Linked DNA regions of Callithrix jacchus. The protein of the gene in region 1 purifies or fractionates together with the protein of each later gene. This does not show direct contact. Links are inferred from orthologs where the notes say so. Each region holds a gene or a part of one and is shown in the gene's direction. Other genes may lie near its edges. The genes, in order: KIF24, CCP110 and CEP97.

What was found.
Region 2: the proteins of KIF24 (region 1) and CCP110 purify together in Homo sapiens (co-immunoprecipitation; 4 studies listed by BioGRID and IntAct, with this or other methods). This does not show direct contact. The link is inferred for Callithrix jacchus from reciprocal best matches to the Homo sapiens genes KIF24 and CCP110.
Region 3: the proteins of KIF24 (region 1) and CEP97 purify together in Homo sapiens (co-immunoprecipitation; 4 studies listed by BioGRID and IntAct, with this or other methods). This does not show direct contact. The link is inferred for Callithrix jacchus from reciprocal best matches to the Homo sapiens genes KIF24 and CEP97.

Annotation. Positions count from the first base shown.
Region 1 is NC_133502.1:141,211,512-141,215,824, reverse strand, and holds the start of KIF24 (kinesin-like protein KIF24), read left to right. Parts: upstream 1-1,443; 5' UTR 1,444-1,772; intron 1,773-4,313. UniProt on the Homo sapiens protein: Microtubule-dependent motor protein that acts as a negative regulator of ciliogenesis by mediating recruitment of CCP110 to mother centriole in cycling cells, leading to restrict nucleation of cilia at centrioles.
Region 2 is NC_133513.1:20,939,939-20,943,589, forward strand, and holds part of CCP110 (centriolar coiled-coil protein of 110 kDa), read left to right. Parts: coding exon 1-41; intron 42-3,286; coding exon 3,287-3,415; intron 3,416-3,651.
Region 3 is NC_133516.1:92,972,250-92,975,900, forward strand, and holds part of CEP97 (centrosomal protein of 97 kDa), read left to right. Parts: intron 1-747; coding exon 748-861; intron 862-1,408; coding exon 1,409-1,575; intron 1,576-3,651. UniProt on the Homo sapiens protein: Acts as a key negative regulator of ciliogenesis in collaboration with CCP110 by capping the mother centriole thereby preventing cilia formation. Required for recruitment of CCP110 to the centrosome.

The DNA of each region.
Region 1 (4,313 bases):
GAGCAAAACTCCATCTCAAAAAAAAAAAAAAAAATCCTTATAAGGTCAAGCAGCATAAATTCCTTTTAATATAGAAACTAGAAAAATAATTAATCTTAAGAATGGATGTTTCCTTATTGGTAAGAATTGCCTTTTTTCCCTTAACTAATTTTGAGCAAATTTGGGTACTCAATTACAATAAGTACACCAACCCACTGACTATATTTGCCTGCTCTTATTTATTATAAGGAAAATTGCTGTCATTTTTTGAGAAGTTACTACTTGCCAGGCGTGGGTCAAGTGTGTTACCTTCATTATTTCACTTAATCTTCACAACAGGGCCGGGCGCGGTGGTTCATGCCTGCAATCCTACCACTTTGGGAGGCCGAGGCGGGTGGATCACGAGGTCTGGAGTTCAAGACCAGCCTTACCAACATGGTGAAACTCCATCTCTACTAAACACAAAAATTAGCCAGGCGTGGTGGCCTGTGCCTGTAATCCCAGCTACTTGGGAGGCTAAGGCAGGAGAATCGCTTGAACCCGGGAGGCGGGTTCAAGCCGAGATCGCGCCACTGAACTCCAGCCTGGGTGACAGAGGGAAACTCCGACTCAAAAAAAAAAAATCTTCACAACAACCCGCTGAGGCATTACTGCCATTTTTCAGAAGAATAGAAAGGGAACTATGGCTCAGAGATATCTGGGTAGTGACTCAAATGTAGGTCGGCCTGACTTCTAACATCAATGATCTTAACCTCGACTTTATAATAATAACCTTTTACATTTGACAATTTGATTGCATTCAGTTTAAGCTGCCACTTTTTTTTTAAGGAGGTGGGGCTCTCGTGAGACCTTCTTTACTTCTGCGATAACTGGCACGATATTATCCATTCAATAATTGAAGCAATTAGAAGACATAAAATCTCTTTTGGAAAGCAGGCGGGTTTTAATGGGTAACAACAAAGTGAAATTGAGGCCCAGGGAGGGGAAGGTTCGGCGCCCCGGCGTCTGGGCCCTAAATTTGCACCTCTCTCGCCTCTGGGATTCGGATAACCTACCTCATACCCACTCGGACCCGGGCAAGCAAGGCTCACAAGGTTAGGGAACCTCCCTTCTCCCGGTGCAGTCAAAAAAATTGAGGTCCTGCGAGCGGATGGGACCTGGCCTGCCCACACCTCACTGCCAGCTTGGAGGAGGGCGCATCCACCTCAGGCCCTGCAGCGACCGGAGGTTTGCCAGAGGCAGATTCTCATCGCTCCGAGGATCATTTCCTCCACTGAAAACTAAATTCAAGTGGGCCCAAAGGCTACTTACCCGAAGCAGACGGAGGCTGGAGGCGGGCCTTGAAAGGAAACTGGAAGTACACTCGCCAATCAGAAGAGCTCGGTTACGCTTGGGACCACCAATAGAATTTGGGAGAAGGATCTTCGGCCTGCCTTAAAGGTGCCGTCTCACACTGAGAACGTCGCGAGATCTTCACTCAAGTGGAACGATTGGCCGAAGGTCGGAAATTGAGAGTTACGCCTACTGTTTCTTAGGTCCTCTGATTGGTCTTTTAGAGGAAAAGTCCAGGAACGCTAACCGATTCTTTGGATGCCCATTGGTGGGCGGTTCGGGACTGCAGACGCGCAGGCCCTAGCGCGGGCGTTCGAACTGGTGCTTGGCGGCGTTGCCATGGAGATGCGGCCTGGCCGCAGGTGGTGGCTAGCTGCTTAACAGACCTGTTAGGTTGCGGGCCTTGGGGCTTACTCCCGACGGCATTCTCAGACAGGGCCGATCGAAGAGTTTGGACCGAGGTGAGAAAGGGCGGAGAGAATAGAGGAGGGGCAGGCCTGGTCCGGAGCCGCGGCGCCGGCCCGCGCGGGGTGCGCGTGAAGTCCGCTGAGCGCGGGAGGAAACGCAGTTGTGACGGAACAGGGAGTTGGCCTCTCTTGGTTCTTACGAAAGTTCACCTACTCTCCTACCTTTCAGCCCCATATCTCTGCCTTTTCTTTAGCATTCATCTTAAACGCCACTTCTCTCACTTTGGAAGACTCGAAATTCTTGAGTCCCAGAGTCCTCTTGCTTTTGAACTCATAACCTTGACCGGCACCTCTCTAAGGCGCTTCTATTCGGCCTTGGAGAATGTGCTTCTATTCGGAAGTGTGTACTTCCGGGAAGCACATTCTCTTCCCTTATCTCATACAGTTTTGAAGGCTTTGAGGTAAGGCAAGCATCGTTCACGATGTCTTGCACATAGTAGGTTTTCAGGAAGTATTTGTTGAGTTGAATTTAATTTACAAGAAACAGACTGGATTCCTCTTCGTGCCCTGTCTCGTTGTCTCTCCCCTTCAGAGACGATTTTTTTATTTCAAGGGGAGGGGGAGGGCAACCTAATTTTATATGCAAAAGGACCTAAAAGTCCACCGTCCACAGTTGGCCTTTCTACTCTTTGTGAGAGGCTAAACTTTTTTGGATTGGTTGCTACAACTTTTCCTGCATTTGTGGCTTTTAGCCTTGGTCTCCCAATAATTTTATTAGACTCCTTTTAGTCTTTGCTTAAAACAAACCATTCTGTTGCTGTATGCCAAGAGAATTTATCTCACTTTAGCCTCTTAGTGACCGGCAGCACATTTTAAATGTGCTTTGGAAAATGTTTTAAAGCATCTTCTTTGTATTTATATTCTACAAGTAGAGAGGCTTTGTAGTCTATTTAAGCGCATATAACAGCTGCTCAGGTGCCCATCTATTCATCAGGTGTCCATGATAGAATTGCTGCTTGGTTGTTAACTCATGGATTATATATTCAGAGCTTGACTGTTGGTGGGATTCTTCCTTATATCAAATTCATAGCTCACTGGCAGTTTTAATAAAAGGAGTGAGAAAGTTAAGTACAGCAGCTATGTTCTTGTTACCATTTTATGAAAGTTTGAAACACTACCTTATAGCTAAACTGCAGATCTGTGACATGTAGTGGAAACCAGACTGGAAATTTAGGGTTTGGCTTTGGCTCTGTCTCTTAACTAATTCACTGTGGGTGGCTTTGCAAGTCATTTCGTTCCTTTATTATTGTTATTATTTATTATTTATTTTTTAGAGACAAGGTCTTGCTCTGTCACCCAGGCTGTAGTGCAGTAACATGAGCATAGCTCACCACAGCCTTGAACTCCTGAATTCAAGGAGCCCCTTTAAACCTCACTTTTTCCATCTGGAAAATCAAATAATTGAATTAGATTAAAATTCTTGTGGCTCTACTATTAAGTCAAGTAGTTGATGTCAGGTGGACCACACGCTGTAAGCCTTCCAAAGACCATACAGTCTTTTTTAAAGCAGCTGAAAGTAGTAGTTGCCATTTATTGAGCGTTTACCCCATACGAAGCACTGTATCAAGGGCTTTATATACATGTTACATTTTTCTTAGTATAGCACATTAACATACTGAGATAGCATTTTATTTAAAACTTTTGGTTTTATGGTGTTTTGTTTGTTTGTTTTTCAAGACAGAGTTTTATTCTGTCGCCCAGGCTGGAGTGCAGTGGGTGATAGCGGCTCACTGCAACCTCTGCCTCCTAGGTTCAAGTGATTCTCCTGGTTCAGCCCCCAGGGTAGCTGGGATTACAGGCACCTGCCACCACACCTGGCTAATTTTTGTATTTTTAGTAGAGACGGGATTTCACTGTCTTAGTCAGGTTGGTCATGATCCACCCGCCTCAGCCTCTGAAAGTGCTGGGATTACAGGCATGAGCCACTGTGCCCAGCTGGTTTTATATTGTTAATGAAAATCTTTAGCTATTCAAAATGTGTCCTTGGGGCAACCGAGGGTATGATTTTCTCACTTTGTAGTTTAGGAGAAACCAGTGTCTTTCTCTGGGCTGCTATTTTGTTGTTTGCAAAGTGATGGGCTGAACTCTTCTAGATCCCTACCAGATCTAGTGTTCTATGAAGATTAATCTATTAATCCCATTCCCCCATGCTGGCTCAGCAAACCAGTTTATAATTTGAATGGTATAGATCCTCAATAAATTTTGTTAAATAAATAATAAGAGTTCAACTTCTTAAACTTTGAGTGTGTGGTCATTGTATACTTCTCAAGCTACTGTCTTAAGGGTTTTGATGTTCACATCGTGTTGAATAAGAAGAGTTTTCTATCGGTATACACTAATAATAATAGTATATTGTTGAGTGTTTATCAGTCATTGAAGTTAGCAGTGAATTTACATTATTCCAATTAACTCTCATGAAAGGAACATTTTTTCCAAGTCAGCAGCATTTTTTTTTTGTCGATTCAATGTAGTAGCTTCCTAAATGATTTCCCTCTTTCCACTTTTGCCTGCCTCCTATGATCCATTTCTTACAGA
Region 2 (3,651 bases), on another chromosome or scaffold:
CACTTATTCGCTTTCATGGAGCAGCTATCCTTTCTCCACTGGTAAACTTTGTTTGTTTTTAAATAGTTTTTTTTCTGTAGTGAACAAGTAAAGCATTTTGTGAAAAAAACAAAAGAAAGGCTTGTAAACATTTGAAGAGATGCCCTTATTCATAATTAGAGAAATAAAAATAAATTAGCATTTTTTACTTACTATTGTAGATTGGCAAAGAGCTAATAGAACCTTGTGTTCCTTAGATTGTGGAAAATGCACTTTTAATGCACTTTTGCTGAGAGAAACTGTTTATTTTTAGGTGAGCAGTTTGGTAGAATCTAAAAGCATACATAGCCTTTGACTCAGTAGTTCCATGGTATATCCTATGTGTGAGCCCAAAGAAATAAGTACAAGATTACATTAGCATTGTTTAAAATAACAAAGGTTGACAAACAACTTAAATGTCCATCAGTAGTGAAGTAGTTTAACTGTGGTCCATTTTATAAAATCTCATACATACCATTAGAGTGAGTAAGGAGATCTAAATGTTGAGACATGGAAGGATCTCCATGATCTAGTGTAAAACACTGTGCAGCATGCTGTTGGGGCAGCATAGAGTAATAGAGCTCCAGGCTTTGGGCCAGGCACAGTTGCTCATACCTGTAGTCCCAATGCTTTGAGAGGCTGGAGGGAGGAGGATTGCTTGAGACCAGGAATTTAAGACTAGCCTGGTCAACATAGCAAGACCTCAGCACTACAAAAACAATTATTTAAAAAAAATTAGCCAAGCGCAGTGACATGTGCCTGTAGTCCCAGCTACTTGAAAGCTAAGGTGGAAGGATTGCTTGAACCTAGGACTTCCAGGTTGCCATGAGCCAGGACTGCATCACTGCACTCTAGCCTGGGCTACAGGGCAAGACCTGGTCCTGAAAGAAGGAAAAAAAGCCTAGGCTCTGGAACCTTCTGGCCTGGGTCTAAATCATTGTTTTGCTACTTACTTGCTATGTAAACTTGTGGTCCATTTTCTTATTTGTTAAATGGAGATAAAATCGTGCCTACCTAATAAGTCTGTTTTGGAGATGAAATGAATTTGTAGATACAAAATGGTTAGAATACTACCTGGATCATAAGAGGTACCCAATATAAGTTAATCATTTGGGTGTTTTAAAAGATGGCTATTCCTTTTCCAGGGAGTGGTGAGAGAATATAGTAGGGAAGACACTTCATCATATACCCTTTAATACTAATTTAATATTTTAAAATGGTACATGATTTTATTTTAAATTACAAACTAATATTAGAAAAAAATAAGCTTTAAATTTATTTTTTGGTATAATAGGAGTTAAGAGATAATTTTATTTTAATTAATTTAATTGAATTTTTGAAGAGGCCAGAGCTAACTGCCAGCATAGCAAAGTTGAAAGGATATGCAATGACCACCCATAGATTTACCATTTGATTAAATAATTTTTAACATTTTTGTCATCTTTGCTTTATTGTTTGTGATTTTTATATACACGTATGTGTGTGTGTACATACATACATACAGACATTTTTCAAAATTGCCTAGCCATTTGAAAACCACTGAGACCTGACGCGGCTTCCCTAAATATTTTGATATACACTTAAAAATAAGGACATTTTTCTATTAAAACCTAATACCATTATCACATCTTAGGAAAATTAATAATTTTTAATAACATCTAATAATTCTGTTCATATTTAAAATTTTCCATTTGTGCTTAAAATGCCTTTTATAACTTTATTCCCCCAATCTGGATCTAAAGTTCACGATTAGTATTTGCTTGTTATGTTTTTTTATTTTAATCTAGAACAGCTCCTCTACATCTTAAACATAATATTTTTTATTGGCTAGGCATGGTGCTTCATGCCTGTAATCCCAGCACTTTGGGAGGCCAAGGCAGGCAGATCCCAAGGTCAAGAGCTCGAGACCATCCTAGCCAACATGGTGAAACCCTGTCTCTACTAAAAATATGAAACTTAACTGGGCGTGGTGGCATGCACCTGTAATCCCAGCTACTTGGGAGGCTGAGGCAGGAGAATCGCTTGAACCCAGATGGCGGAGGTTGCAGTGAGCCAAGATTGCATCACTGCATTCCAGCTTGGCAACAGAGTGAGACTGTCTCAAAAAAAAAAAGGAATTCTTTGGAGATGATGCCCTGTATCCTTTGTATTAAATTAAATCAGAAGTTACGTAATGTTTGGTTGTCCTCTATTAGTGATGTTTAGTTTGAACACTTGCTTACAGTAGTGACTACCAGATGGCTCTTTAAAGTACACATTTTCTCCTTTTGATTAGCAAGTAAACTGTGTAATTAGGAAAAAATTTTAAAACCACATATTTATCAGCTATTTGATAACATTGCTTAATGTTATCAAATGGACCAAATGTCTGAGGCTTGTTGTATAGGGTCTATGACTCCATCTGTTATTTATTTATAAGCAAAATATGATGTTTATGGACCTAATCCATACTTTTATGTTGTATATGATAGATGAATATTGCAACTTTTGAAATAATCTTTTAATGATATATTTTCTATTTGTGTAAGTCTACGATAAATCTTGACTCTTAACGCAGTGACCCAATTTCCCAGGACTTAATAATTAAGATTGAAATCCATTATAAAAAGATACAATGCTTAGAAGCCTTCATTTTTTTAGGTACATTAAATTTTTATTGGAAGGTAGAGATAAAAGAAAAGATGTATTCTGATTTTGTAGGCAAATAATATATTATCTGTTTCTTTTATCATTAAACCTTTGGACATTTTTTTTTTTTTGAGGCAGCAAAGAGGTAAAATGTGTACTGGTTAGAAAATTAGAACTTGTAGAATTCATTTGACCTAGTGAAGTACTTAATGTGAAGAAATATTCAAGTCAATATTCAAATGAAGTAATGAAAAACTCAGCAGTGGCCGAAAGGGCTTTAATTGTATTTCTGTCATTTTAGAACATTTGATCAGTGAACAAACTTTTTTGCTTTTTAATTTTTTTTCAATTCAAAATAATTTACATATAGCAAAATGCACAGATCTTAAGTGTTAAAGTTCCCTGAGTTTTTATATATGGCATACACCTGTATAACTCAAACTCACACAGGATATTTTCTTCACCATGGAAAGATCTCTAATGCCCCATCCCACTCAGAAGCCCAACCACTGTTCTTATTTCTTTCACTATAGATTAGTTTTGCCTGTTGCACATGTTTTTAATCTTTCTGATTCAGAACTTCCCGATTTTATGATATTTTTATTATGGGAAATAATTACATTTTTATGATGTTTTGCAGCTTAACATTGAAAAAAGAAAGGAAATGCAACAAGAAAAGCAGAAAGCACTTGATATAGAAGCAAGAAAGCAGGTTAACAGGAAGAAAGCTTTACTGACTCGTGTCCAGGAGATTCTTGACAATGTTCAGGTGTGTGATTTAAAGAAATCATAAGATAAGTATTGATGATAATTTTTCAGAAATATCAGTTGTACTTAACTAATTATTAATGTACTTGACTGTTATGTTTGAGAAGCTTCATAATTTGTGATTTTCCATTTCAGTTACTCCAAAGAGTAAGTACTTGCTTGTTAGTGATGCCCAGTACTTGAATCAGAGGATACTTACACAATGGAGCCATATACTGAATATAATTGCTTATTGTT
Region 3 (3,651 bases), on another chromosome or scaffold:
CTTCCTCTAGTTTTTAGTTACCTAGAGAATACAGTTGCAAATATGGGTTGTAGGTTATCGCTCTCTTTTTTAGAAAATTTACTTTATATGTGGTTGTTTTTATGCCTTTTTTTTTTTTTTAACTTGAGACACCAGAGTCTTGCTGTCACCCAGGCTTGAGTGCAGTGGTGCAATCATGGCTTACTGCAGCCTCAGCCTCCTGGTCCCAAGCGATCCTCCTACCTCAGCACTCCCTAGTAGCTGGGACTACAGGTGCACCCCATCATGCCTGGCTAATTTTTTGATTTTTAGTAGGGAAAAGGTCTCACTAATGTTGCCCAGGCTGGTCTCAAACTCCTGGGCTCAAGCGGTCTTCCCTCCTTGGCCTCCCGCAATGCTGGGATTATAGGCAAGAGCCACCACATGTGGCCTCTATTTTGATATTTTAAAAGAAACTGAACAAGTATGTTAGAAATTGCTCAGTGTCTCATAACGTAAATCTCATAGCATGCCTAGTTGCCATGCCAACAATGTGTTTTAAGGCAAATCTTTAAAGTATCTGGGGCTTAGGATGCTGGTACGGAAACAGAGAGTTGGACCAGAAGAACATCAAGGACCCTTCTAGCATTAACAGTCTCTGATTTGTGTGATGAGAAATATAATAAAGTAGATTCTTTTATTCTTACATTTGCCATTTTGGTGTTGTCACAATAGGCCAATTTATTTGTAATCTTTTTATTTGTAATTCATACTGTTTTTACTTTCAAGACCCTGCTTTTACATGGAAACATCATCACCTCTCTTAGAATGGCACCTGCTTACCTACCCAGAAGTCTTGCTATACTTTCTTTGGCAGAAAATGAAATCCGAGACTTAAATGAGGTAAAATTTGAGGGTATTTTGTGAGATTCAGGAAGCTGGAAAGTCCAGGAAAGACACTGGAGAGGGTTGTGAGCTTGCTTTTAGATTGTGAACAGCTTAGAAGAAAGTTCCCTTCAGATGAAGTGTTTGCCTCTAGATGATCGTTAGTTTTCTTTCCACTTTTCCTTAGTGTCAGTGGGTCATTAAGATCTAATTTCCTTTGGAAAGTTGTAATTATCATTCCATTGGGAAGTGATTGGTGGTAGAGGGACATCTGCCTCATAAGGGTTTATACGACTCCCTGTCCAACTTTCCTGGCTGCTGTGATGTTTTCAAAATAGGGTTCTTTCTGCTAGGAAACTGTGCTGATACTTGCTAAGGGATTTTGTGCAGCAGGGACGGATGGCTATATTGTTGAAATTTTGGAAGTCAGTGGGTACTTGTGACTTTTCAGAACAAGAGGGAAATTATCACATTCTCAAATGCTGCCAAAGATGTGTAATCAGTGGAAAGCTTGCGCTTGACACTGAATAGTCCTTTTGTTCAACAAAGTTATCTTTTGTTCCAGATCTCTTTTCTGGCATCCTTAACTGAATTGGAGCAGTTGTCGATTATGAACAATCCTTGTGTGATGGCAGCACCTTCCATCCCAGGATTTGACTATCGGCCGTACATCGTCAGCTGGTGCTTAAACCTCAGAGTCCTAGATGGATATGTGATTTCTCAGAAGGAAAGGTGAACATGCCCTCTTTAACAACATGACAAATGTTACTGAAAGACCATTTCTAGTTTACTACAGATTAATAGAGTAGTATTTCTTCATATGTGCATTTAGAAATTAAGAGTATTACTGTAGTCATATAGCAGACTATGTGCTGGTCACTTAGGATTTTCTGTCATTTCTAAAAAAGGATAAGAAATCAATATTGGCCCGGTGCAGTGGCTCATGCTTGTAATCCTCACGCTTTAGAAAGCCGAGGCAGGAGGATCGCTTGAGCCCAGGAGTTTGAGACCAGCCTGGGCAATACAGGGAGACTGCATCTCTAAAAAAAAAAAATAATAATTAGCTGGGCATGGTGGTACACATCTGTAGTCCTAGCTACTTAGGAAGCTGAGGTGGGAGGATTGCTTGAGCCCAGGAATTTAAAGTTGCAGTGAGTTATGGTTGTGCCATTGCACTCTACCTTGGGTGACAGACAGATACTCTATCTCTGACAAAAAAAAGAAAAGAAATCTTAGCCCCGGAGGTTGGAGCTAGTAGTCTTAGTGCCCTACATACAACAATTTGATTTCTAAAAGTTCTTTTGTTAATCAGTTGTTTGGAGCTTGGAACACTTTTGCATAGAAACCATCATGTTTTAGAACCTATGTAGGGTCTCAGATCATTGTCACAAAAGCTGTGATCTATTAATCTACCAGGGCCGTATTTTTATTCATTTTATTTTCTATTTATCATCTAACGCCAAGTCACATAGGGCAGTATTAGTCATATCTTCGAATTCTCCAAATACTCATTATAATGGTAATTCTGGGAAAATGCAGAGTTTTAATTTGGAACTGGTAGCATACATGGTGATTGGTCCTCTCCCCTGCTTTTTTTTTTTGAGATGGAGTTTCGCTCTTGTTGCCCAGGCAGTTGTGCCATTGGAGTACAATGGCACAGTCTTGGCTCACCACAATCTCCACCTCCTGGGTTCAAGTGATTCTCCTGCCTCAGCCTCCTGAGTAGCTGGGATTACAGGTATGCACCACCAGGCCTGGCTAATTTTGTATTTTTAGTAGAGATGGGTTTCTTCATGTTAGTCAGGCTGGTCTCCGAACTCCTGCCCTCAGGTGGTCTGCCTGCCTTGGCATCCCAAAGTGCTGGGATTATAGGCATGAGCCACCGCACCTGGCCAGGTCCTCCCCTTCTTATACCTGTGAAGTGGCAGAAGTGAGAATTCCCGATCTGTAGATCATTGATAGTTTCTGTGGCTTGGATCTGGGACTCCTGCAGAATGGAGTCTTCTGGATCCTGACACATGATCAGTGGAATCAGAGCTTCAGGGGAGGTAAGGAACTAGGATATGGGAAAGATGGAGTGGAATTGGGATAGTGAGAGTTGAGATTACTTTATTCTCTCTACTATGTTTCATTTCACTTTTTCCTCTCAGTACATTCACGCATGCATTCATGGACTCAACACATACATACTCCCTCACCATTTTTGTTCTTCTCTACTATGGACTATAGTTATTTGAAGAGTTTCCTGATGGGAGGATGGGTTGTAGATTACAGACAGCATCTCTATTCTCTGTCTCTCTGCCGTTTTGCTTAGTTTCTGAGTAAAGCAGGGGCTGTGAGGAATGGCAGCCAGGTGCTAGATTGTGGTGGTGCTGGTGTAGGGTGAGGGACATGTCAGGTCTAGTTTGCCTACAAGAAAGGGTGGCTTTTTCTTTTTTCTGCTGTGAGTGTTGCTCTGAGAGTAAACCTTACTTTGTTTCAAACTGTGACTAGTTCTCGATCTGGAATATAGGTCTACTTGGATTATCCTCTCCACAGTTGTTGACTTTTTCTATGGGAGTAGGACTGGCAACATTTTCATGTCTGAGAGGCAGCATGGTGATGTGGGCAGAGATAAAGGTTTGATGTGAAGAGAGACCCACAAAGAGAGGTGAGACCTGGTTAGGAGAGACAAGGGAAGGCTTCACTTCTTTCTCTGCTACCTGTTAGCTTTGTGGCCTTGTCAGGTTCCTTAGTGCTTTCTGAGCCAGTTTCCTCATCTGTAAAATGTGAATAGCAGTACTATCTAGCTTTCATGGATGTTAGGAT